Linked DNA regions of Cricetulus griseus. The protein of the gene in region 2 interacts with the protein of the main gene of each other region in a biochemical or structural test. Links are inferred from orthologs where the notes say so. Each region holds a gene or a part of one and is shown on either strand. Other genes may lie near its edges. The genes, in order: M6pr and Plin3.

Region 1 (11,395 bases), on a different chromosome or scaffold from region 2:
AGAGGCAACAATGGGTATGGAAGTGTGGAGTTAGCTACCAAGATGGTTTTTAATCAATGCTAATTAGTATGATCTGTACATCTAAATGCTAAGCTAAAACTTTTCTTTTTTAAAAAACAAGAGTTTTGCTATGTAGTTTTGGCTGGCCTTAATTCACTATTACATAGACCAGTCTGGCCTCCAACTTGTCATTTCCTGCCTCTGCCTCTCAAGTTTTAGGGTCACAGGCATGAGCCACCATACCTGGCCTTAAAACTTGTTTCTTGACAAAACTCTGTGTTGCCCTGTTTTAGACAATAAAAACTCAATACTTAAGATTAATTCCAGCCGGGCGGTGGTGTTGCACGCCTTTAGTCCCAGCACTCGGGAGGCAAAGGCAGGCGGATCTCTGTGAGTTTGAGACCAGCCTGGTCTACAAGAGCTAGTTCCAGGACAGCCTCCAAAGTTACAGAGAAACTCTGTCTCAACGCCCGCTCTCCCACCCCAAAAAAGATTAACCCCATTTTTTACATTAAAGGTAGGCAAGAGAATGTGTAAAAACAGTTATTATCTGTGCTTTTCACACTGATGCACATTTTCTCAACACAGCAAAAGGAGAGGAGGTTCTGGATGATTGCTTAGTCCAAAGTAACATAGATAAATTCAAAGTGGATGTTTATTGAGTTGGGAATACATCTCCCTTCCTTAGTATTTACTACTTTTCAAGTTCTTTGCAAAATCTTGTGTGACTAACCACCATGTGAAGTGAATAGGTAAGGATGCTTTTAACTTTGCATATGAGAAGATTTTATAACCAGTGAGCTAGTACCTCATAATCATCTGTGGTGGTCTGAGTAAGAATGATCCCCTTATAGGCTCATAAATTTGAAGGCTTAGTCACCAAGGAGTGGAAATGTTTGAAAGGATTTTAAGCATTAGGAGGTGTGGCCTTGCTAGAGCAAGCGTTACTGGTGGTGGGCTCTGAGGTTTCAAAAGCCTATGTCAGGCCCAGAGTGAGTGAGTGAGTGTCTCTGTCTCTGTCTCTGTCTCTGTCTCTGTCTCTCTCTCTCTCTCTCTCTCTCTCTCTCTCTCTCTCTCTCTCTCCCCCTCTCTCTCCCTATGGCTCAGGATGTAGAACTCTTTTTTTATAACAGTTGCCTTGGTCACAGTGTCTCTTCACAGCCACAGAACAACGACTAAGACACCATCATACTAGGAAAATGATGATTTGGGTCAAGAATGCACTCATGCATTTTATTTTGTTCTTTACATAACGAATATCTACACTAGATTAATTATCTGCTTATGGGAAGAAATCAAGCCACTTTCATGACATTTGAAAAATACAACTATGTTAGTACAAGTAGGTGGTGTGTTTCTTTTTCCTTAAATACTTACTGGTTTGCATAAAAAGGTATTTTGGAATTCAGTTGGCAAACTTGGTTAACTGATGAGAAATGGTGGTGGTTGGTGTGGAACTCATTAAATATTTGGGTGTCTAGAAGGACTCCTGGCTATGTAAAATTCTGGCATTTTCATATTCATTCCCATTCATCATCTCTTCTTCTACCCCTTCCTTCCATCTTTCTTTTTGTGGTTCTAAGGGTCAAAGCAGAACTTTGTGCATGTGGGCAAATGTTCTACTCTGAACTGTTTCCCCAATCCCATATTCTTTTTGTTAAAGTTTTGCACTATCTTCAAACACAGAGGTGTCCTGAGCTATGGCTCCAGACCAGCTGTGGAACTAGGCACTGTGAGGTACAGTCCAGGTGGAGCAAATTCCATAACATGACATACTCAAAAAGTTGGGGATGGACAACACATAAAGGATTGCAGAGGACTGCCGTGGATTAGTCAGCAGGAAATACTTACTTCCATTGAAGATGTGAGTCTCGTTGATTCTCCCGACCACCGTCTCCTTCCCATTGTTTTTGCTGATCTGCACCAGGCCTGCTCCAGAGGAGTGGTTGCCAGCTTCCCGGCATACTCTGAATCTATAGCTGTATGTATCTAAGCCCTGGCCCACAGTGCTCTCAAAACTGCAGAAGACAAGTAGAGAGAGAAAGAACAGTATCACTAGTTACTAAAACAGGAAAAACTGCACCCCTCCCTTTGATGACAACCAATGTACAAAATGCAAATTTGCTGAATTTGCTAAACTATGAGTTGTTTATATCCCCATAGACTATCCTACTTGTTGATAAAGATACCACCCCAAACAGCTACACATCATAGCATACCTATTATAGCTATGCAAAAGTGTTGGCTATTTCGTTACAGCAAGGGACAGTCCCATGCTTAAGGATCATTTTATATCTGAAGATTCCCTGACAGCGATGAAGACATACTCAGACATGTATATCTCTTTAAGTATGTCTGCTTGATGTTTCTAAAGTCTTACTGTATGAAGCTATCAAGTTATGTTCTGGTTTCTACAGGCTGGTATTTTAGAGCCAGTCATTAGAAACGGATACTTTCCTGTGAAAGATAAGAAAAACACACATGATCACATGGCTGTGAATTTGGTCTGTCGCTAAGAGGGCAATGTGTTACAACCAAATACAACCAATACTGCCAAAATCCAGGTTAGACTTCATAGCGTGCATGTACCCCTTTCACATTAATGCTCGAGTACAGTCAGTAAAAGCAAACCCCAAATAAAGATCACTTCTTAAACCCTTTAAGGCTCTGCTCGTCTACCTTTTGTTAAACAGTGGCCGTAGCCTCTCCAGGAGAGCCTTCTCTTGCTTTGACTCCTTATCATTGTCTCCTACCAGGTCACAAGACTTTTCTTCTGCCTGCCAGGATTCTCTCACAGCCAAAGCCAGGACTAGCAATAGTAACAGTTCAGTCCTCCAGCAGCCAGAGAAGGGGAACATCCTTTTGGAAGAGTGTGTTGAAGGTGAAGGCAGGTTCCGGAGAGAAAGGAAACAGATACATCACATGACTGCAAAATTAATATTTTGATTATGTAAACAAAAAGCATGAATCTGCTTCATAGCAGTATTCTGGGAGCATCCAGCAATCTTTCTTCACATTCACTGGAAGCACGTGGGATGAAGTGAAGCAGCTCCAGCACCCCAAGTCACCTCAATTACTTACACACCATTTCCCTGGAAAGCCACCCAATCACAACAAGGGCTTAGATGTCTTCCAAAACCTGTCCCAGCTTCTCCAAGCCACAAATCTCAAGGGCTTCCTTCTACTTTCAGCAAGATGGCTGTCTTTCTCCACTCTACAGTCCTGTACTGCCACCTTCACTCACTGTCTGTGCTACTCTAACAGCCTTATGTGGCCCATGGGAGACACACCCTCAGCTGTGTCTGTGAATGCAGCCCTACATATTTGCAGATGATAACGTCCTATTTGTATGTTGAAAAGTTGGACATCCCTATATCATCCTTGTAGTTAGGCCACAGTGATTTATGCTGGCAGAAGGTTTCACTCCTATCTATCGGTAACCCTTCAGACCATTGGGCATTGTTCATTTAAGTTTCACTGTTTTTTTTCGGAGACATTTAACTCTTCCAGTCTTTCCTTATGACAAGACCATGGACACTCCAACCTTGTAATCTAATCGCATTTCCTTTTCTCCCTGAAATTTAATCTGAGTTTCTATTTCCCATATGCAAGGAGGGTAACAAATGCTTGGGGACTTATCTACCTGACTTCAAATACCCCACACATCAAACTACAGAAACACAAACAAGGCATTTCCACACAATAATCACTGGTGGCCAAGAGAGGTCAAAGGCTCTCTAACACATCTCAAATACAAAACAATAGGACACATTAATAGCGACAGCCTTCAGCCAGGCATTACCTGAAATACTTAACATGCATTAATTAATCAATCCCCCCAACCTTATGTAGTAAATTTAATCATCTCTATTGCAGATTAAAAAGCAAACAACAAACAAAACAAACACTGACAATACAGCTAATAGCGTGAGTAAAAGAAATGGCTCTGGAGCTCAAGTTCTACGCGTCACCGTCATGCACATCTTTCATCATAATTTTCTGGGATGCTAGCAGAAACCAAAGCAGAGTTGCCTTTCTTCTTTTTAAAACAAAGCAGGAAAGAGGAGCAAGTCCTCACAGAGTTAACTAGAGTGTAACAAAAAGCTCAGACTTAAGCTCTTGCCTTCCCTAAGCTCACCTATTGCTCAACACATAGCCCAACCAGTCAAATCACTGAGAGGTCCTTTTGTTAACCCACTCTGTGCCATTTCCCTTAAATTCTCTTAGGATCTAATTGAAAATGTTAACATTCTGGGCTCTGAAGCCCTTTCTCCCCAGGAGCATATTTTGGGGGGATGCTCTCACAGAATGAATGCTGTGCACTGTGGCCTCAGAGATGGTTCCTCATTTGTTAACTGTTACTGCTTTCTCTTCCCAAATGAGGGCAGAAAACTTCACAGAACTGAGACAGGATGAAGAATTAAAACAAGCTGTGGCAGACATTAGATGAACCAAATGATTTGTCATTTGCTAATTTGTCCAAAAAAGAGGAATAATTTTACATCCTGTCTAGCTTAAGATTTGACTGTAAGCAGAAAAACCAGGAGAAAGACTTGACTCTAAGTTTGAGATGCTCTTTTTGATCCAGTATGGTGTATATCATAAATGCTTTACTTACATTATGTTGGGAAAGCAAGATAAAGGAACTGAGGCTTACAGATGCCCACTGAGTTACTTGTTCTTGGTTACACAAATATTAAATGGGCGAAGTTCCTAGAGCAACCTGGATGACTAATGACATGAAGGCATTTTTTGGCAAACTTCTGATAAACATAGGCACAAGGAGAGAAAAGTATGAAATTCAAGCTGGGCAGTCCCTTTTTAATATGGCACAAATAGATCCTCAAAGTGTGTGACAGAGGATCTTAGGAACTTGAAAATCTTCAATTTCCTTACTCTAAAGAGACACAGATCTGTTGGCGATGCTGGGACATTCTCCTTTAAGGACAGCCAACGACTAAGTTAGAGATTGGGAAACTGCTGACATCATTTATGTTCGCTCGCACTTTCCCACTCGTGGCCATTTTCCATTTTTTTTTCTAATGGAAGGCTTTAGTTTCTTCCTCCTGGTTCATAGCAGCCAACCCTTCTAAGATCAGTCTGAACTGCCAGGAAAGGCCCAATGCTGAAAGAGCCTCTGGGAAGTAGTTCTGTGCTTCAAACTCCTACACGAAGAAACACAGATAAATCCCTCTGTTACTCTTTTCCACACCAAGCTAACACACACACAAGTTCCTCGAACTTCTTCCAGGATCCTGGAAATTCTCGCTTTCCATTTGCTCAGAGCCATGCCTTACCCAAAATGATGATGCCACGACGCCCCTTTACTTCCACGATACAGGGCAAAATTCTTCCAACAAGCACCCAGTAACACCACTTCACTGGTCTCCCCACTTGGCACTTAATTTCCCGCACCTTCAGAACATCGCAACCCCCTTTCTGGTCATGAAGTCCTCCCCCTCACTCCTGGTAGCCTGACGCTCCCGGTGCTCACGCCTTTCGCCCCCACTCGGCTCTACGGCTCGCTAGCAGGGTCTGGGGCTAGAACCACCGCCACGCGCGACGCGAGGACTGCATCTCCTCCGGCGCAGGGGCGAGCAAGGACCCCCGGCCCACCTGCTCCTCCACCTCCACGCCCCCCACACTCACGTGTCACGGAAAACACAGCAGCTGAAGCGAAGAAGCCCCCAAGAATGTGGCCCTGGGGTTGGGAGACGCGGCCGGAGAGCGGCGAGTCGCAGACCCCGGTCCTCCGTTCCTGTCTGAGGCCAGCGCTCCCCAAAGCGCCGCTCGGCTCCCTGCTCCAGAAACCGGAAACAGGAAGCGGCGAGAGGCAGCTGAGCAACTGCTCCTCCCACCAGACCCCGCGGCATGTGACCGCAGAGCCATCGCGCCCCTTTCCTTCCCCCGAACGCTGATTGGTCAGCAGCCTCGCTCGCTCTGCTCCCGTCCCGTCAACTCCAGTCGCTCCCAGATTGTCAAGATCAATTTCTTCTTTTGGGGGGCCGCCTTCCTACCAATGAGGCTCGAGCCCCGCCTCCAGGGACTCTTGGCTGGCGCGCCCCACTCACGCGGGGGTCACGTGCCAGCTGTCCCGCTAGGTCCGGTGGAAGACAGTCAGAGAGGGGCGATAGGCGGAAGCTACGGACAGTGTTGCTCCCTGGACTCGCTGGGAGTTGTAGTTTCTGCTCCCGAGGCGCTCTGGGAGTTGTAGTTCCTAGGGCTCTGCTGCTACCATAGTGGCCTCTGCGCGGCGCTGCTCAGCCATCCGTCGGCTGGAATCTCTCCCGGTCTATAGTTGACTGAACGACCTGGACAGTGGAACGTTAGGATCCTGCTTGTCCTCGTTTTCTTAACACCTTCAGTCAGAATTTTCTAACTCTCTGGGGACGTGCTATTATTACTGCAATGACTTGTCCTCTTGTGGCATCTTGCTAGATAAGCATACTCTGTTCATCAAAGCTGCCCTATGTGTGCAGCTCCTCTAGTCTGCATTCTGTTTCGGGGGGGGGGAGGAGGGGTCTTTGCGCCTTTGGTAAGGTCTTTTGCAGATTCCGGGGGTTTATTAGCCACTCTCTGAATTCCTACTTGTTCTAAGGACTGGGTTTGATACTTAATTGTTATGGCTTCCTGGGTTTACTCTCCAGGTTACTAATTTCTTCCTCTGAAGGTTCTTTTGGCTTTAGCTAGTCATTCCCTTCTGACTCTTACATGCTTTTGTGTATATCATTCTCATTCTGCTTAAATAGGGATCCATGTTAGAGGCAATATTATGTTTGAAACTGCTAGCTCTGTAGTGCCCATACTATTTTAAAAAGTGAACTTAAAAATTTTAATTAAAATATAATTACTTCCTTTTCCTTCCTCCAGTTCCCTCAAAGACTCCTCCACCTAGCTCTTTCCGTGCCCCCTCCATTTGATAGCCTCTTTTAAAAATTTATTATCGTTATATGTATGCATAAATATATTACAACTGCTGAGTCTATTTTTGCTGTTTGTGTGTATGTGGTTTCAGGAATGATCACTTTGTGTTGGATAACCACTTAGGAGGCTCGTCCCTGGGAGAGGTTAATTCTCCCTCTCCCAGAAGTCATTAATTGCCTGTAGTTCTTTGTTTAGGGGTGGAGCCACTTGAGATTTCTCTTCTCTGCTAGCCTATCTATTGATTTTGCCATTGTTCAGATCTTATTTGTGTAGCCATTTCTATGATACATTGTTTCACATCAGACTTCCTGGTATCCCAGCTCTTAAATTCTTTCCAGTCTCTCTCTTCCTCATGTTGGCTGAGCCATGGATTCAGGAGCTGTGATGTTCCCTGAGCCATTGGAGCTGGAGCCCTCACCATCTGTTGATCTCTTCATTGTTCCTGTTACGGTTTTCTATGATGGTCTCCATTTGCTGTAAAGAGAAGCTTTTTTGATGTGGGGTGAGAGAGAGCTACATTTACCGATGGGTATAAGGATAAGATTGAAAATGCCGTTAGGAATTATGCTGACCTTGCAAAGTGGTGGCAGTAGATCTTCTTCTAAGATCCATGACCTCACCAACCGTGGGAAGTTGAGTAGGTTTCTGGTACCAGGCGTAATTCCGTCCTGTTGAGTGGGCGTTAAGTTCCATTAGACTGAGGTTGATTGCCACCAACATGTGAGTAAGACTTACTGCATTTTTATGTCTAAGGCTGGCATTTATAGGTGTCACAGCTGGGTAGGACTATAAATGCCTCTCTCCCTTGGCAGCTTGTATAGTATTTTCTGGTACCGTGGAAGCTAGATTGCAGGAAGGAGACTCTCACATTTGATCCAACTCGAATAGTGTGAGTCCCATGTCTTAAGTGTGCAGTGTCTTCAGCAATAGGGACCTACCTTCAACCTCTGAGAGGCAGCCAAGGGTGACAGACATAGTCTATGTTGTTTTGGGAGTCATTGGACTATCCTGACTAACCATTTGAGAGACTTCTCATGGTTTGTACTGGGGGTTTTGTTAGTCTATAGTTCTTGTAGGGAGCATTGTCAGCCCAAATGGCCTTATGTGTGTTGTATAATTTTAGGCAAATATTAAATGTTTCCATAAGGGTTTATCAAAAAACATTGGTATTGGGGTTGGAGAGATGGCTCAGAGGTTAAGAGCACTGACTGCTCTTCCAGAGGTCCTGAGTTCAATTCCCAGCAACCACATGGTGGCTCACAGCCATCCACTATAAGATCTGGTGCCGTCTTCTGGTGTGCAGATATACATGGAAGAGAATGTTGTATACATAATAAAAAACATTGGTATTATTTTCTCCCCTTCCTTCTCCTTCTGTATTGACTTCCTTCCCTCCACTCAACTGAAATCTCTCTCCCCATTTTCCCATTTCCCACTTCATATCACCTGTATCCAGCTGTTCCCGCCTCAAGAGTCCCCTCCCCCATCACAAATCGCTTTATAGTTTCCTGGTTTCTGCTGTTACTCCATGTATATCCTCACATCTGAAGATTTGGAGCTAGGAACCACAGATAAAAGAGAAATGCAGCATTTGTCTTTCTGAATCTGGGTCACCAAACTCAATGCAATGTCTTCTAGGTCCATCCATTTGCCGTCAACCATTCTGCTTTCCCTTTTCTTTACAGCTGAATAGAATTCCACAGCTTGCAGGTGAGGCATTAACAGACGCCTTTGCTTCTGTAAACCTTGATGTGGGAAAGGGATGAAATGGTCTTTTTATTACTATATATTGGGAAAGTCAGAAACAATCGGGAGAAGCAAGCCAAGCAATGCTCCTGCCCAGCTGTGGGGTCCATGGACAGTTGTGATGCTTATGTTTCTGATGTCTGCCTTCAGACCTCGCCTTAGCCCCCATTTGGGCACAGCATGCTGTTTGGCGCTCAGGCTTCTGTCTTTCTGCTAGCAGTAAGCATAAATTCATTTAATCTAAATTTGAACTGAGTCTAAGTGAAGGGCTCTAGCAAGCCCATGCATGGCAAACACGGCTCTGGCAGGCCTTGCCCTTCCCTGATTCCTCTTCCTTGCTAAAAACCCTAAGATTCCATTCCTAAAGCTACTCACCAAGGTCTATTCGCTTATTTGACTACTTCCTCCTCGTTCAGTTGTCTTCCAAGGTCCAGCTATCAAAGTATTGAAGTCTAGCAATCAAAACCCCTCTTTGGCTGCCCTAATTTAACCTGTCCAATCAAAATTTAACTCCTCATTCATAAACTAAACTCATAACAAGGAGTTTCCCCTTTCACCTTTATAAGCTGTCATTTGCCTATGTGACACGTCTGTCTCCTCTCTATCCAGAGGCAGTCCTCTCTGGGACAAACACCTCTGTCCCCTTTCCTTTGTTCCTTCCCCTTCCTCCCCATCCTCTATCTCCTGTCTTTGTCCCTTATCCCTGCCCTCTGTCCCTCTGGGGCAAATAAATCTTCTTGGTGCTGAGAACTCGCTCTTGGGGGTCCTGAGCTGATACCGGTTTCTTCCAGTGGATCTGAATGCCACAACAGTTTACATACACATACAAACCCATACATACCAATAAATATGTGGCACGCAATCAGGTGTCTAATAAGCCATAACCTTAGCAGTGGCCTTATTATTTAGATTGCTTTTGAGACATAAGATGACATCGACAGGTCACATAAGACCCTTACAAACTCAGCCACAGCCAGTAAACAAACCAAAAAACCCAATGATAGGACCCTGGGAGAGCACTGAGTGAAGGTTTTGGAACCCTCTACAGGACATTTGAAAGGAAGAGTGTAGAGGAGTTTAGGCAGTTGGGTGGTTTTAACCCCTTTTTTGTTTGTTTATAGCTTGTAGCTGAGAGCTGCTTCCCTTTAGGGATGTGTGTGTGGGGGAGGTGTGTGAGGGGGGAGGTGTGGGGTGTCTGTGTGTGTGTAGGTGTGGGGTGTCTGTGTGTGTGTGGTGTGTGTGTAGGTGTGGGGTGTCTGTTGGGGGGAGGTGTGTGGGGTGTGTGTGTAGGTGTGTGGTGTCTGTGTGTGTGTGTAGGTGTGTGGTGTCTGTGTGTGTAGGTGTGGGGTGTCTGTGTATGTGTGGTGTGTTTGTAGGTGTGGGGTGTCTTTGTGTGTGTGTGAGAGGTGTGTGGTGTGTGTGTGTGTGTGTTAAGGTGTGAGTGTGGGGCCTGTAGCTCCTGGGTTGGAAGAGGAGAGAAAAGGAACTCTAGAAAGGAGAGGAGGAGGAGGAGAAACAGCATGAATGAGGAAGAAAGCAATTGCTGAGGAAGGTCGATGTCACTGAATGCATTTTGTAAATAAAGTAAGTTGGGACTTTGCAAATTGGACATATTTTAAATGGAACACTTTTAAAATGCAATTCAGGCACGAGTCTTAGGAGGCAGGGGTCATAACCTGACTCACGGGGTGAGGTGGTGAAACAGAGTTGCGGTTGGTTAGATCAAGGGAGCCTGACCTGGAGGGGGATTTCATTGGACTCAGCTGTGAGGGGAATGAGGAGGAACTCATTATTCTAGAGAAACCGAGAAGGTAGCTATTTGTTTTTCTTCCTTCTGGACAGGAGGGGGAACTTAGAGTGGAGGCGTGTGGTGAATTTCCCCATTGAGAGAAGCAGTGGCAGATAGAGTGAGGTCCTGGAGAGGAAGATAGGCTGCCGGCAGGGAGCGGGGTGCTGTCAAAGAGGAGAGGGCGGGGCTTAGCACTGCTGGGTCAGGAGAAAGGAGTGGGAAACAGAGATGTGGGGATGCTTTGTAATTACAGAGAGCCTCCCAGAAAGAAAGGAAGTGGCCGCGATGAGCCAGCCTGCGCATTAGCGCTGGTACTGTCAGTATCTGATCAGCGCGGAGAGCCTGCCTCGGTTGGAAAGGGTCCTCAGCTGCAGCCCTATGAACTCCCACAGAGAAAAGCTGCAGTTAGGTGTCCCCCAGATGCCTGGTTTTTCCTGCTGAGGGACAAGGACTGAGCACTGGCAAGGAAGAAGGGGTGCGGGGAGAGAAGAGTGGAGAAGAATTAGGTCTCCCATTGTGAAAGGAAGAGACTGTAGGTGGACAGAGCCAGCTAGAGGAGGGATGGAAGCGGCTGGCAAGGTGATCTGTAAGACACTCCGCTTGGTTTGCTTTCGCGCTGGATGAAGCTGTTTGAGTCCAGTGTTGCTTTGAGATAGCATTATGAGGTCCGGTGATCAGGTGGGCAGATGGGTGTCGGGTCCAAACAGAAACTGGAAACAAATGGCTAGCCGAGGTGCCTATTAACACACCAAAGCACATCGTGGCTTCCGGGATCACGAAGTACCGGTGGCTCCTCTCAGCTCTTCTCACCCTGCCCCTCCCCACTGCGGAGGGCCCCTTTTTTATAAAGGACGGGCAAATAATCAGTGAAGAGACAAGAATGAAACTGGATCAGCCCAATTTTGGTACCGGTTCTGACCACTGGTTCATTTATTT
Region 2 (11,114 bases):
AAAAAAAAAAAAAAAGGCGGTGTTGGTGGCACACTTTAATCCCAGCACTCAGGACAGAGGCAGGCAGATCTCTGTGAGTTCCAGAAACAAGAGCTAGTTCCAAGACAGTCTCCAAAGCCACAGAGAAACCTGCCTCAAAAAAAAAAAAAAAAAAAAAAGTTTAAATGGGCTGGAGAGATGGCTCAGAGGTTAAGAGCACTGCTGCTCTTCCAGAGGTCCTGAGTTCAATTCCCAGCAACCACATGGTGGCTCACAACCATCCGTTATGAGATCTGGTGCCCTCTTCTGGTGTGCAGATATACATGGAAGCAGAATGTTGTATACATAATAAAAATAAACAAAATCTTAAAAAAAAGAAAAACCAAAAACCAAACCAAAAAACCAGTTCATCAAAGGTCCTGGGGCAGGCTCTAATGGCTGCATCTGCTGTAGCCTTGTCCCCCGCCTTCTTGGGTTTAGGTTCCTTCCTAAAGGCTTACAACTGTTTCTAAAGGTGTGTACCCCCATCAAATGGTGCATGGTGCTTGAGAGGACAGATGATACTGAGTGCCCTTTGCTCTGGGTTCAGTGGGATCCAGATGGTATTCTGACTGGATGTGGCCAAACTTCAAGACCTTTCTGCCCAATGTGGGTGGGAACAGTAAGGACTGTCATCTGCGTGTTGAATATAAAGCATGGACTTGGAGGGTCCAGGCAGGGCCTCAAGACAGAGTCAATTGACCTAGCACTGACCTTCTCAGTCGGCTGTTGGAGGATGGGCAGGCTCTCCTGCAATCTGTCCAGCCCTCGGTGCGCGTACTCGCTGGCCGAAGCAACTGCAGGGCACAAGAGAAAACACACCCACTGTAAGTGCCCTTCAGAGGTGGGGAGAGCCACCTAGAGCCAGTTTCAGAGAAACTGAGGAGTCACCCCCCTCCAAAAATGGCCATGAGAAGCATTCTCCACACCCTGGGGTCCTCAACTCACTCTGGGGCTCCAGCTTGGACAAGATGGGCTGTGCCCCACTGACCGCAGCCGCAGTGAGGGTCTTGACGCCTTTCTCAGCCACATCACACACGGTCCTCACATGGGGGTATCGGTCCTTGGTGGAGGTGTATGCTGCGCTCACCATCTCACACGTGGAGCTGATGAGAGGCAGGCTGGCCATGCGGTCCACCACGCTGGGCTGAGGGCAGGAGACTGGGCTAGGAGCTCGGGACGCCCACAGGCCTGCTCTCATTTTGGGGGAGCAGGCCAGCAGGGCTCCATCATGCCTAGTAAAAACAACTGCACAAGGCAGGAACCTGAAGGTTCCATCACGTGCTTCTGGTGGCTTACTTGTTTGAGCATCAGACTGGCCACCCAGGACAGACTCAGGCAGTGCCATGACAAAGGAACCCCATTTCTTTTGTTTTCTTTCTTTCTTTCTTTCTTTTTTTTTTTTTTTTTTTTGATTTTTCAAGACAGAGTTTCTCTGTGTAGCTTTGGAGTCTCTCCTGGAACTCGCTCTAGAGACCAGGCTGGTCTCGAACTCACAGAGATCTGCCTGCCTCTGCCTCCCCAGTGTTGGGATTAAATGCATGCGCCACCAACGCCCGGCGGAACCCCATTTTTGTTAGTGCACTGGTGTGCCACATAACAGGCCCTATGTTACAATAAATCTTTCCGCCAAAAGTCCTGAGCGCAAGCGCCACGTGTGAGCTTTACGCCAGCCGCCCGCCCGAGTTAGGCCCAAATGAATACACAGAAACTTGTATTAGGTACAATGCTGCTTGGCCAATGACTAGGATTCTCATCTGTTAGCTCAGTCTTAATTATCATAAATCTATATATTTTATAAGACTTATCTTATCGGACTGCCTTGTTGGCATCCCTCCTTGTGGATCACATTGTGCTGCTGGAGCCCTATGTTCCATCCCCAACCCTAGAAACTTGGGGGCCATGGCACATGATGTCATTCAGCATAGACCGGAACCTCAAGGGTTCTATTATGACTGTGGTATCCTGGGCTACATTGTGAATTGGAGGTCATCCTGGGTTAAACGACAGTCTCAGAGACACAGAGAGATGGGGAAAGAGAGTTGGGGAGAGACAGAGAGATGGGAGGCAGAGAAGCATGTAAAAGGAATTCAAAATCATCCTTGGCCATATAGTGAGTTTGAGGCTAGCCTGTGCTACATGAGACCCTGTATTGAAAGGAGACAAAGGATGAAGGGTTAGGCATAGGTGTCTAATCCCCAGCATTCAGAAGGCAGAGGTAGGGGCAATCTCTGGAAGTTCCATGATAGCCTGGGCTACATAGTGAGACCCTGTCTCAAGCTAAAAGAAAAAAAAAAAGAAAATGAAGGAAGGAAGGAGGCAGACCTCCAGACTTCTCTCCTGGCTGCCCCTCCCAGACCCCAGCAGTCTGCCACAGAGAACTCTCAGAAGTTGCAGGGCTCCCTGCAACTCAGGCCCCTCACCTGTGGGACAGGTTCTTCCACAGCAGCCTGGGCTTCAGCAGGAGCATCTGTCCCATTGCTAGACATGGTTTCAGCAGCAGGTGCTTCAAGCAAAAGAGAGTCAAATGACAGCCTGCTCCATGAACACAGGAAGCAGGGTTGATCTATGAACCTTCAGCTCTCTCAGAGCCCTGTCACTGATTCAGAAGGTCCAAAGTGGAGCCTAGCTCACCACAGCTCCTTCCCAACCCCTGACCCTTTTGGTGCTGGAGAGCCAAGCCACTGCCCCAGGCACTCAGCAAAGCTGCACCCTTGACCACTCCCCCAGCCCTGCACAGGGGGAGGAGGGGTGCTCCACCCTCACCACACCCCCAACCTCTAACTTTAGAACTCCTAACTCCTGATGGTTGTGACAGGGTTCCCAGGTCTTTTTAATTCCAGCACTCGGGAGCACTGGCAGGCAGATTTCTGTGAGTCCCAGGCCAACCTGGTCTGCAGAGTTAAACCCCCTGTCTCTAAATAAATAAATAAATCTTATATTTATATTTTGGTTTTATGTGCATGCAGTAGCCAGAGTGCAGGAGAGGGTGTCAGGTCCCCTGGGACTGGAGTTAGGTGGTATGAGGCACCTGAGTGCATGCTGGTAACCGAACCTGGATCCCCTGAAGGAGCAGTGATCGCCCTAACCACTGAGTCAGCTCTCCGGCCTGATTTTATCTTCACATAGATGTTAGAAGATCTGGGAAAATGGGGAGACTAAGGACAGGTTTCAGATAGAGGATGGGGGTAGAAGGTGGGTCCCTGATTTTTATTATTATTATTATTTGTTTTTCAAGACAGGGTTTCTCTGTGTAGCTTCTCCACTTGCTCTGGAGACCAGGCTGGCTTCAAACTCAGAGATCTGCCTGCCTCTGCCTCCCGAGTGTTGGGATTAAAGGTGTGCACCACCAACACCGGGCCGGGTCCCTGAATTTTAGGCCAGGTAAGTAATCCTATTCAAAAACCAGGGGCTGGGGTTAGTGGGCAGAGCTGGCATACCCCAGTGATGCTACCAAAACCACACAAACCAGGAGTGGTGGCACACACCTGTCACCCCAGCACTTAGGAGGAAGGTCAGGACTTCAAGGTCATCCTCAACTATATCATGAATTAATTCTAGGACAGTCTGGGCTACATAAGACCTTGTCTCAAAAAATAGTTTTGAACCAATGAGACCACATCAGAGGGAAACTCGAGTCTCAGCTCATTGAAAGCAGAATCAGGATAGGCCATGCTGTCTCCACCAGCACCATTGACTCATATCCACACTGAGTCTAAAGGTTGCCCCTAATTCAGACCCTGGTGCCCCAGAAAATTTTGATGTGACAGGTCTGAACCCAGTAACTCCAGAACACAGATTCTGTTTTGGAGTGTGTGTGTATACACAATGTTTGAGGTGGTTCCCTGGGGTCTTATCACATGTTAGGTAAGCGCTGACCACTGAGCGACACCCCCAGCCCTCTTTCTGTTTCATTTTCTACATTTTATTTATTGTTTATCATGTGTCTATGTTAGTGTATGCTTGCCATTGTGTGCCTATATGGAAGTCACAAGATAACCTGTAGGGGTAGTTTTTCTCATTCCACCATGAATTTTGGAGGTCAAACTCAGGTATCGATCTCTGCCAACTCACTAGCCCCTGATCCTGACTCTGGAGACCCCTGGAAGGAGCTCAGAGGGCTCAACTCCTTGGGAAGCTTGCTTGCCATTATCTATAGCTCAGACTCTCTGGTGGATTGGATGGTGGCGTCTGTCAGATGCTCAATAAACCGGTCTGGCATACCGCAGCCTAACTGCTGATAGTGAAGGCTGCAACTTCCGGTTTGTGATAAAGGTTTCCCAACAGAGCAGTCAGGTGATGAGGGTCATGCTTCAAGTCTTGTGATCACCACTTAAGCCAGGTTACTGTCGCCTTACCTGGTGGGCAGCAAAGCCTAATTGACCCCTTTGAAGTCAGTCAGACACTCCTGGAGCCCCCCACCCCAAGCAAAGGGTGGCCACTGTAGATAAGCACTTTCTTAGTTCTTGGGGGTCTGTGACCTCTGTAGAGCTGGCTCCAGCTGCCAGGAACTGACCGACCCTCTCACACCCCGCCCACAAGATTACTTTCTCTGCTGAGAAAGCCAGAGAAGCCCCCAGGGTCAAAGACTGCTGCGTGTAGCCAGGACTTTGAAGTGGTCAAGGAAGTCTTTCTGCCTGGTTTAGTGACAATGCTGTCATCTCAGCATTACTGGTGGAGGCAGGGGGATGGCAAGTTCCAGGCCATCCTAGTTTACAGAACAGGCCCATTTCCAAAACCAATTACCAAAACAGAAACAAAAGACTGAATCAGAGATTCCAAGCGAGGGCTGCACCAGGCCCAGGGTGGAACAAGCCTGGCTTTATGCAAGGGTCCCTCCCCCTACACTCCCCACCCTACACCCGCTCTAGGTCGGGACCAGTGCTGGGCTGGTAAAACTATTTACAACCGAAGCAGCAGGATTGATTGATTACTCTGAAGGACAGGAGACTCGGTACCGGGAAAGGAAGGTGGAGTTGCAGGCCAGGAAGCGTGGGACGTGCGTTTGAGCACAACTCTTAACTCTGGAGACCCAGGACGGTAGAAGCCACCTTCCTTGACACTCAGGAACTCATTCCCCACCTCCAAAGTCCCAGGGTGGCCAGGCCAAGCAAGAGTTGCAAGTGCTGCAACAGTTGCAGCCTCCGGCAAAAGTTACTCTCCTATAAAAGTGGAATTTCCTAGCGTGCAGAGATTTGGGAGCCTCTGACCCTCCCAGGAAAGCCTCGTGTCTCCCTCCTCCCCAGGGGAGCCCCAAGATCGACCCTGGGCCCCCCAACTCTCACCAGAGTCCTCAGGTTGTCGAGGCAGGGAAACCGAGCCCTCCCAAAGTCAGTTCGGATCTGCCCTGGAGGGGCGGGGCGGCCCTGTGGATCCCGTGGGGGAGGAGCTTGAGAGTGACGGGACAGAGGACCAATAAGAGGGCCCTGTGACTTAGTCCCGCCCACTTACCCACCTTTCTCAGGAGCCCCAGACCAGGTTGCCTGTTAGTTGAGTCCTCAAAAGACCTAAAGTTCTGGTCTTTTATGGAAGGGGGAAGGAAAGCCTGTCTAACGTCCTTTCCTGAGAGTTTAGGGGATCCTGGCATCCTTCATGTTTCCATGTTTCAAAGAAGGTTGTGGATCCAGGGATAGCTGCGACATCTTCAGATACGCCAAGTGATAGTCTCCATCCGAACTCTGGGAATCAATAGCCAGGAGTATACACAACCTCGATAGGGCCCTAAATGAAAGCTTGCTCTCTCAGCCAGCCTGAGGCGCTCACCGTGCCGAGGCCTTCTGGTGGGCGAGGTGGGCGCTGAGGCCCAGGAGATGGCTGGCCACCGTGGTTCCTGGACTCCTGTATCAAGCAGTCCCTGAGGCTGCCCGCCTTCCTGAAATCTTTCTCCCGTTGTCTGTAAGCCAAGGGGTTAACCTCAGACGGCCTCAGGGTGACCCTATGTGCTGCTCCCCAATCCCTCAGGTCTCCAGTGGGGGGGAAATGTGCATAGGCGCTTGCAACTGCTCATGCGCCAACGTGAGCCCAACCTGGGGAGGACCCACCTTTACTGAGGTACCTCCAATCTTTCCTGACTTCTTCCCCGGACCTCCTTTTTCTGGGTTGCCTTGATGACTGAATTCCTCTTCTTCCTGTTTCCACTGAACAGTGATGCCTTCACAGGGGCGGAAGACGGATGGGGCACGCTGCCGCTGGTGACGCCCTGACCCACACAGCGCCCCTTCGCTCTGTGCCTTCATGGCATGGCGCCCTTCCCTCTGTGGCCTCCACCCCGATGATGCACTTCCCCCTGTGCCAGCGAGGGTGTCCCTTTCCTCTGTGACTTAGCAGGCATGTACCATTAACTCTGGGCCTGGCCTGTGGTTCATTGGCTGTGTATATAGGCATTCAACACCTACTGTATACCAAGGTTCTGCAGGGTAGCCCTGGGGACATAGTCTGGACCCTCTTGGCTTGGTAGCACTCAGTCCAGTGCGATGACAGGCTGGCAGGATAGCATTAAGACTTAGGAGGGTTGAGCGGTGGTGGCACACACCTATAATCGCAGCACTCAGGAGGCAGAGGTAGGCGGATCTCTGTGATTTCGAGGCCAGCCTGGTCTACAGAGCCAGTTCCAGGACAGGATCCAAAAGCTACACATAAACCTGTTTGAACCCCTCCCCCCCCAAAAAAAAAGACTTTAGGGGAACAGTCAGAGCTACATAGTGAATCTGTCTCAAAAACAAATAAAACAATAATTGCTAGAGTTAATTCAAGAAATATTTAAAAATTGAGGTCAGACAAGAAGAGCACTCAGGCGTCATGTCTCTCTACCACATGGTGCCTGGGGATTGAACTCAGATCTTCAGAACTGGCAGCAAGCTCCCTTCCTCACTGATCCATCTTGCTGGCCTCCAAGGAACTTTTACTTTGTCTCACTGAGGCCATCCCCCTGCCTCAGTCTCCCAGTGTTGGAATGAGAGGCATATGCAACCACTCTGGCAACTTTTAATTTTAGAAGAAATTAGGGGCTGGGACAGACTGCTTAATCAGTACACACCAAACTTGGGTTCCTTCCCCAGCAACACATCCACCAGGTGTGGTGCATGCCTGTCACCCCAGCACCCTGGAGCTAGGGGTAGGGGGGGATGAGGAGGGTCAGTTCAAGGGCAGCCTGTGCTAAATGAGTTTGAGGCCAGCCTGGGATGCATGAGATTTGAGGCAGGAAAAACGAAGATCCTAGATAAAAGAGAGCTCTCCCTCTACAGTGGCTGAGTCCTGATGTCAACCTGTCCCCACTCATTGAAGGACACATTAACAGCCTCAAGTCCTTGCTTTTCATTCAGCAACCTAATGGCCAGATGCTGTCCACTTCTCCAACTCATGTGGCCAGTGTTTTTTCCTTCTCACCACAGGAAACTGAGGGACATTTAACACACAGGCCCTGGCTGTCCCCGACCTCCTTGGCCTCATGGCACCAGCTGCTCACTGTCTCCTGTGAGAGGCAGTGGTGGTGGCCGGCTTGGGGGAGGGGCATAGCTCTGAGACCCATGGCCCACCAGGCTGGTCTAGCTTCTTCCAGGCCCCTTGGGCCTACTGGTCTCCTTTCTCTGGCCACCACATGCTGGCAGCTCCAGCTCCTTTGAGAGGTAGCCACTAAGTCTCCTTGGTTTCTTGTTTCTCTGGGCTCTGAGACAGACCCTGCAGGGTGCCTGGTGGCTCCTGAGGTGACTTAAAAGCAAGCAGGCCAGTGGGCAGACTTCACTTTGTAAATACCTTGGCTGGCCCAAGGGCTGTTCCCTATGGGGCCTGTAATCCAATCCTTCGGGGACCACAGTCCTCCCAGTCCCCAGAGAGGGCAGCCTGGCCCAGGTGACCTGGCTTGCCTGGACACTCAGAGCACTGCCAGCAAACAGGACATCCTGGTCATGTTATCATGCCAGTGGGGACAAACTGTTCTTGCTGTCTCTGTTCCTGGGTGGAGACTGGGGACTGCTGTCCGGGTGACCACCTTGAAACTGAATAAGCGAACATGGAGGTGTCACCTTGGACTTGGGAGTGGGGCATTCTGGTCCATAGGACCCTTAGAAGTCAAGAGCTTCTAATTGACAAGAACAGTGCTTCTCCCACCAGCCCTAGAAGGTGGGGAGACTGATCATAGCACTGTTGGTTGGGGCTTGCAGTATGGACAGTCCCTGGGTGGCAGCTGCAGCCAGTGCTCCTCCTGAGCTTGCAGCTGTGTGAGTAGCTTAGGTTCCTGGGAGGGGGGTTATTTTGGGGTTGGAAGCCAGGAAGAATGAGGGGCCCTTCCATGGGGGACAGGAAGCAGGGTGGCCCCAGCTGCCATCTCCCATTGGCCCACCTGGCATGGTGGGTGCCATCAGTCACCACACAGGAAATGTGGTGTGGGTCACTGAGTCTCAGGGCGGAGGGGGAAGGAGTCTCCCTGTGAAAGTTGCAGAGCTGGATAGAATGTTCCAGAAAGCCTTAGCTGGGTTGTCATGGCAGCTATGGCATGAACACTGACACAAGGTCTCACATAGTCCAGGCTGGCTGGACTTAAATCTCCCAGCCTCCCCAGTTCTGGGATGATAGGCGTGCATCACCATGCCTAAGGCCTTGGAGATCTCTGTTTAGAGGTAGATACTTAACCCATGGGAACTTGGCCCACAGTGGCTTTTCTGCCAAGACTTTAGAGACATCTTTGTTCCATTCAGACTGGATCTCACATAGCCCAGGCTAGCCTGGACTTGCTAAGAATGCTGAGGCTGGCCTTGAACTCCTGTTCCTCCATCCCATCTGAGTACTGGGATGACAGGTGTGTGCCATCACACCGGGATTATGTGGTATCCAAGGATAGAGCCCAGGGCATTGTACATGCCCAGCTAGTCCTGGGCCCACCAGACAAGCAACTCACATAGAGTTACAATACGCTTTTAATATTTAAAGTCGGGGCATTCAAACCAGTTAATCCTCGTTTAGTGACTCGTCCACCTGGGGGCAGCTGGCCTTGTCTTCCCTGGTGCTGGTGATGACGATAGGTAGACGGGCTTTGACAGTTGTCAAAGACCAGGGGAGGTGGATAGTGACTACAAGCTCATAGCTGGTCTGCATAATCTCGTTCTCCTGGGAGCCACTACTCACGGACAACACCAGCGGCAGGGTGAAAGCACTGACCACCTTGGTGCTGTTGAAGGCCGGGATGCGAGCATTGGCCATCTGCCGAAGCAGCTCACTGCTGTCTGCCCGCCGACGCCGCTCGGCATTGGGTGTGAAGCCCTCATACTGCACATGGGCATAGAGGGCGAACACCACGGTCTTGATGTACTTGCCCGTGTTGTTGCGGATCTCCGACGTGAATGTCACCTTCTCGCCTGGCACGAAGATGTTCTTGCCCATCTGCACCTGCAGGGTCACCCAGCCCTGCCTACAACAGTTGTAGGATACTTTCTTCTCAACTTCCACCAACAGGGGGTTCTATAAGGGAAGAGGATAGACCTGCTGAGGACTTATAGCTGGAGCTCCTGCAGGCTGTGGGGGACTTGGGACCCAGACTTGTGTCTCTCAGACTTGTGTCTCCAGCAAGGGACCTTGGAGTACCAGGAGGCTCAGATTGGAAGATGGATTTATTCAAGGCCAGCCTGGGCCACAGAAGGGACAGCCTGGACAACAGAATGAGCCTTTTTGTTTTTGTTTTTTGAGACTGGGTTTCTCTGTGGCATTGGGGGTTGTCCTGGAACTCACTCTGTAGACCAGGCTGGCCTAGAACTGACAGAGATCCGTCTGCCTCTGCCTCCCAAGTGCTGGGATTAAAGGCATGTGTCACCAACACCTGGCACTTCTAGGAGTGTTTAAGAGGCTTTTTCCATTGATTTCATCCAGCTTGAAAGCCAGATGTCTCAGCTCCCTTGAAAGTATAATTGTTTTTGAGTTGATACCAGCTTTAGTGCCATATTCCATGCATTTGTACAATGATTTCTTGTCTGTATTTACTATGTTGCTTTATTTCTATTATTACTAGTTTTTTTCGATACAGGGTCTCTGTGTAGCTATGGAGCCTGTCTTGGAACTTGCTCTATACACCAGGCTGACCTCAAACTCACAGAGATCCTCCTGTCTCTACCTCCCAAGTGCTGGGATTAAAGGTGTATATGACCATTGCCTGGGATTAAAGGTGTATACGACCATTGCCTGGCCTATTATCACTATTACAATCATGGTTGTCACCACCATTGAGACAGGGCCTCACTGGGTAGCTGAGGTTGCCCCTCTTACACACTGCCATCCTCCTGTCTAAATCTTTCAAGTGCCGGATAACAGGAGTACACTGCTACACCCAGTTCACGAGAGAGACTTTCTCAGAGGTCATGACCTGTGATTTGAACGACACAACCTATGGGGTAGGGTGGCAGCTCAGAGATGGATCAATGGGCAAAGGTGTCTGCCACCAAGCTGGAAGACCTGAGTTCAATTCCAGGAGCCCACGTGGTGGAAGAAAAGAACTGACTCCGACAAGTTGTCCTCTGATGCACATACACTTGCTGGGGAGCCCCTCCAGCATCGTAAATAAATGTAAAAAAGAAAGAAAAAGTACAGTCAGTTTCACAAGCTGTCCTCTTAGGGTCAAGGGTATAGCCAACCTTTGACCTTCCGACATCATCTCCCACTGTCAAACCTCTGATGCCTGTATCTTTCCAGGGTTCTCAACAACAGCTATTGCTCTCTGCCTGGTACTCCAAGGCTGAGAGAGCCCCTTGGAGCCCTTCCTATGTGTTGAAAACTTTGTCTTCATGGGCACAAGTGGGCTTCTGCAGGCCTCAAGGACCCCATTCCTGTAAATGAGGACAAAGCTGGGTTCACACATGGGCTTTCTCTCCATGCCTTCACACTGGGCTCTTCGTGGTCCCAGAGCCTTTGCACAGGCTGTACCCTCCACTTGCTGCTCTCATGGTTCTCCAAAAGTCTTCTTTGGTTCATGCATGACCCACCCAAGGGCAACCAACCAGGGGGCAGGTGCTCAGGCCCTGAAACCTCCCAGCATCTCCTCTGTGGTTGGCTGGATTACAAACTTCTGTTGCTGTGAAGGTGACAACCTCTATATGGGGACTCTGTCACTAGCC

The links.
Region 1: the proteins of Plin3 (region 2) and M6pr form a complex in vitro, tested with the Homo sapiens proteins (2 studies listed by BioGRID). The link is inferred for Cricetulus griseus from reciprocal best matches to the Homo sapiens genes PLIN3 and M6PR.

What each region holds. Positions count from the first base shown.
Region 1 is NC_048601.1:22,964,738-22,976,132, forward strand, and holds the start of M6pr (cation-dependent mannose-6-phosphate receptor), read right to left. Parts: upstream 5,828-11,395; 5' UTR 5,650-5,827; intron 2,860-5,649; 5' UTR 2,859-2,859; coding exon 2,680-2,858; intron 2,019-2,679; coding exon 1,852-2,018; intron 1-1,851. UniProt on the Homo sapiens protein: Transport of phosphorylated lysosomal enzymes from the Golgi complex and the cell surface to lysosomes.
Region 2 is NC_048598.1:97,261,486-97,272,599, reverse strand, and holds the start of Plin3 (perilipin-3), read right to left. Parts: upstream 5,396-11,114; 5' UTR 5,304-5,395; intron 2,525-5,303; 5' UTR 2,508-2,524; coding exon 2,442-2,507; intron 1,166-2,441; coding exon 967-1,165; intron 816-966; coding exon 733-815; intron 1-732. Other genes in the region: Arrdc5 (arrestin domain-containing protein 5), read right to left, coding at 8,962-9,471. UniProt on the Homo sapiens protein: Structural component of lipid droplets, which is required for the formation and maintenance of lipid storage droplets. Required for the transport of mannose 6-phosphate receptors (MPR) from endosomes to the trans-Golgi network.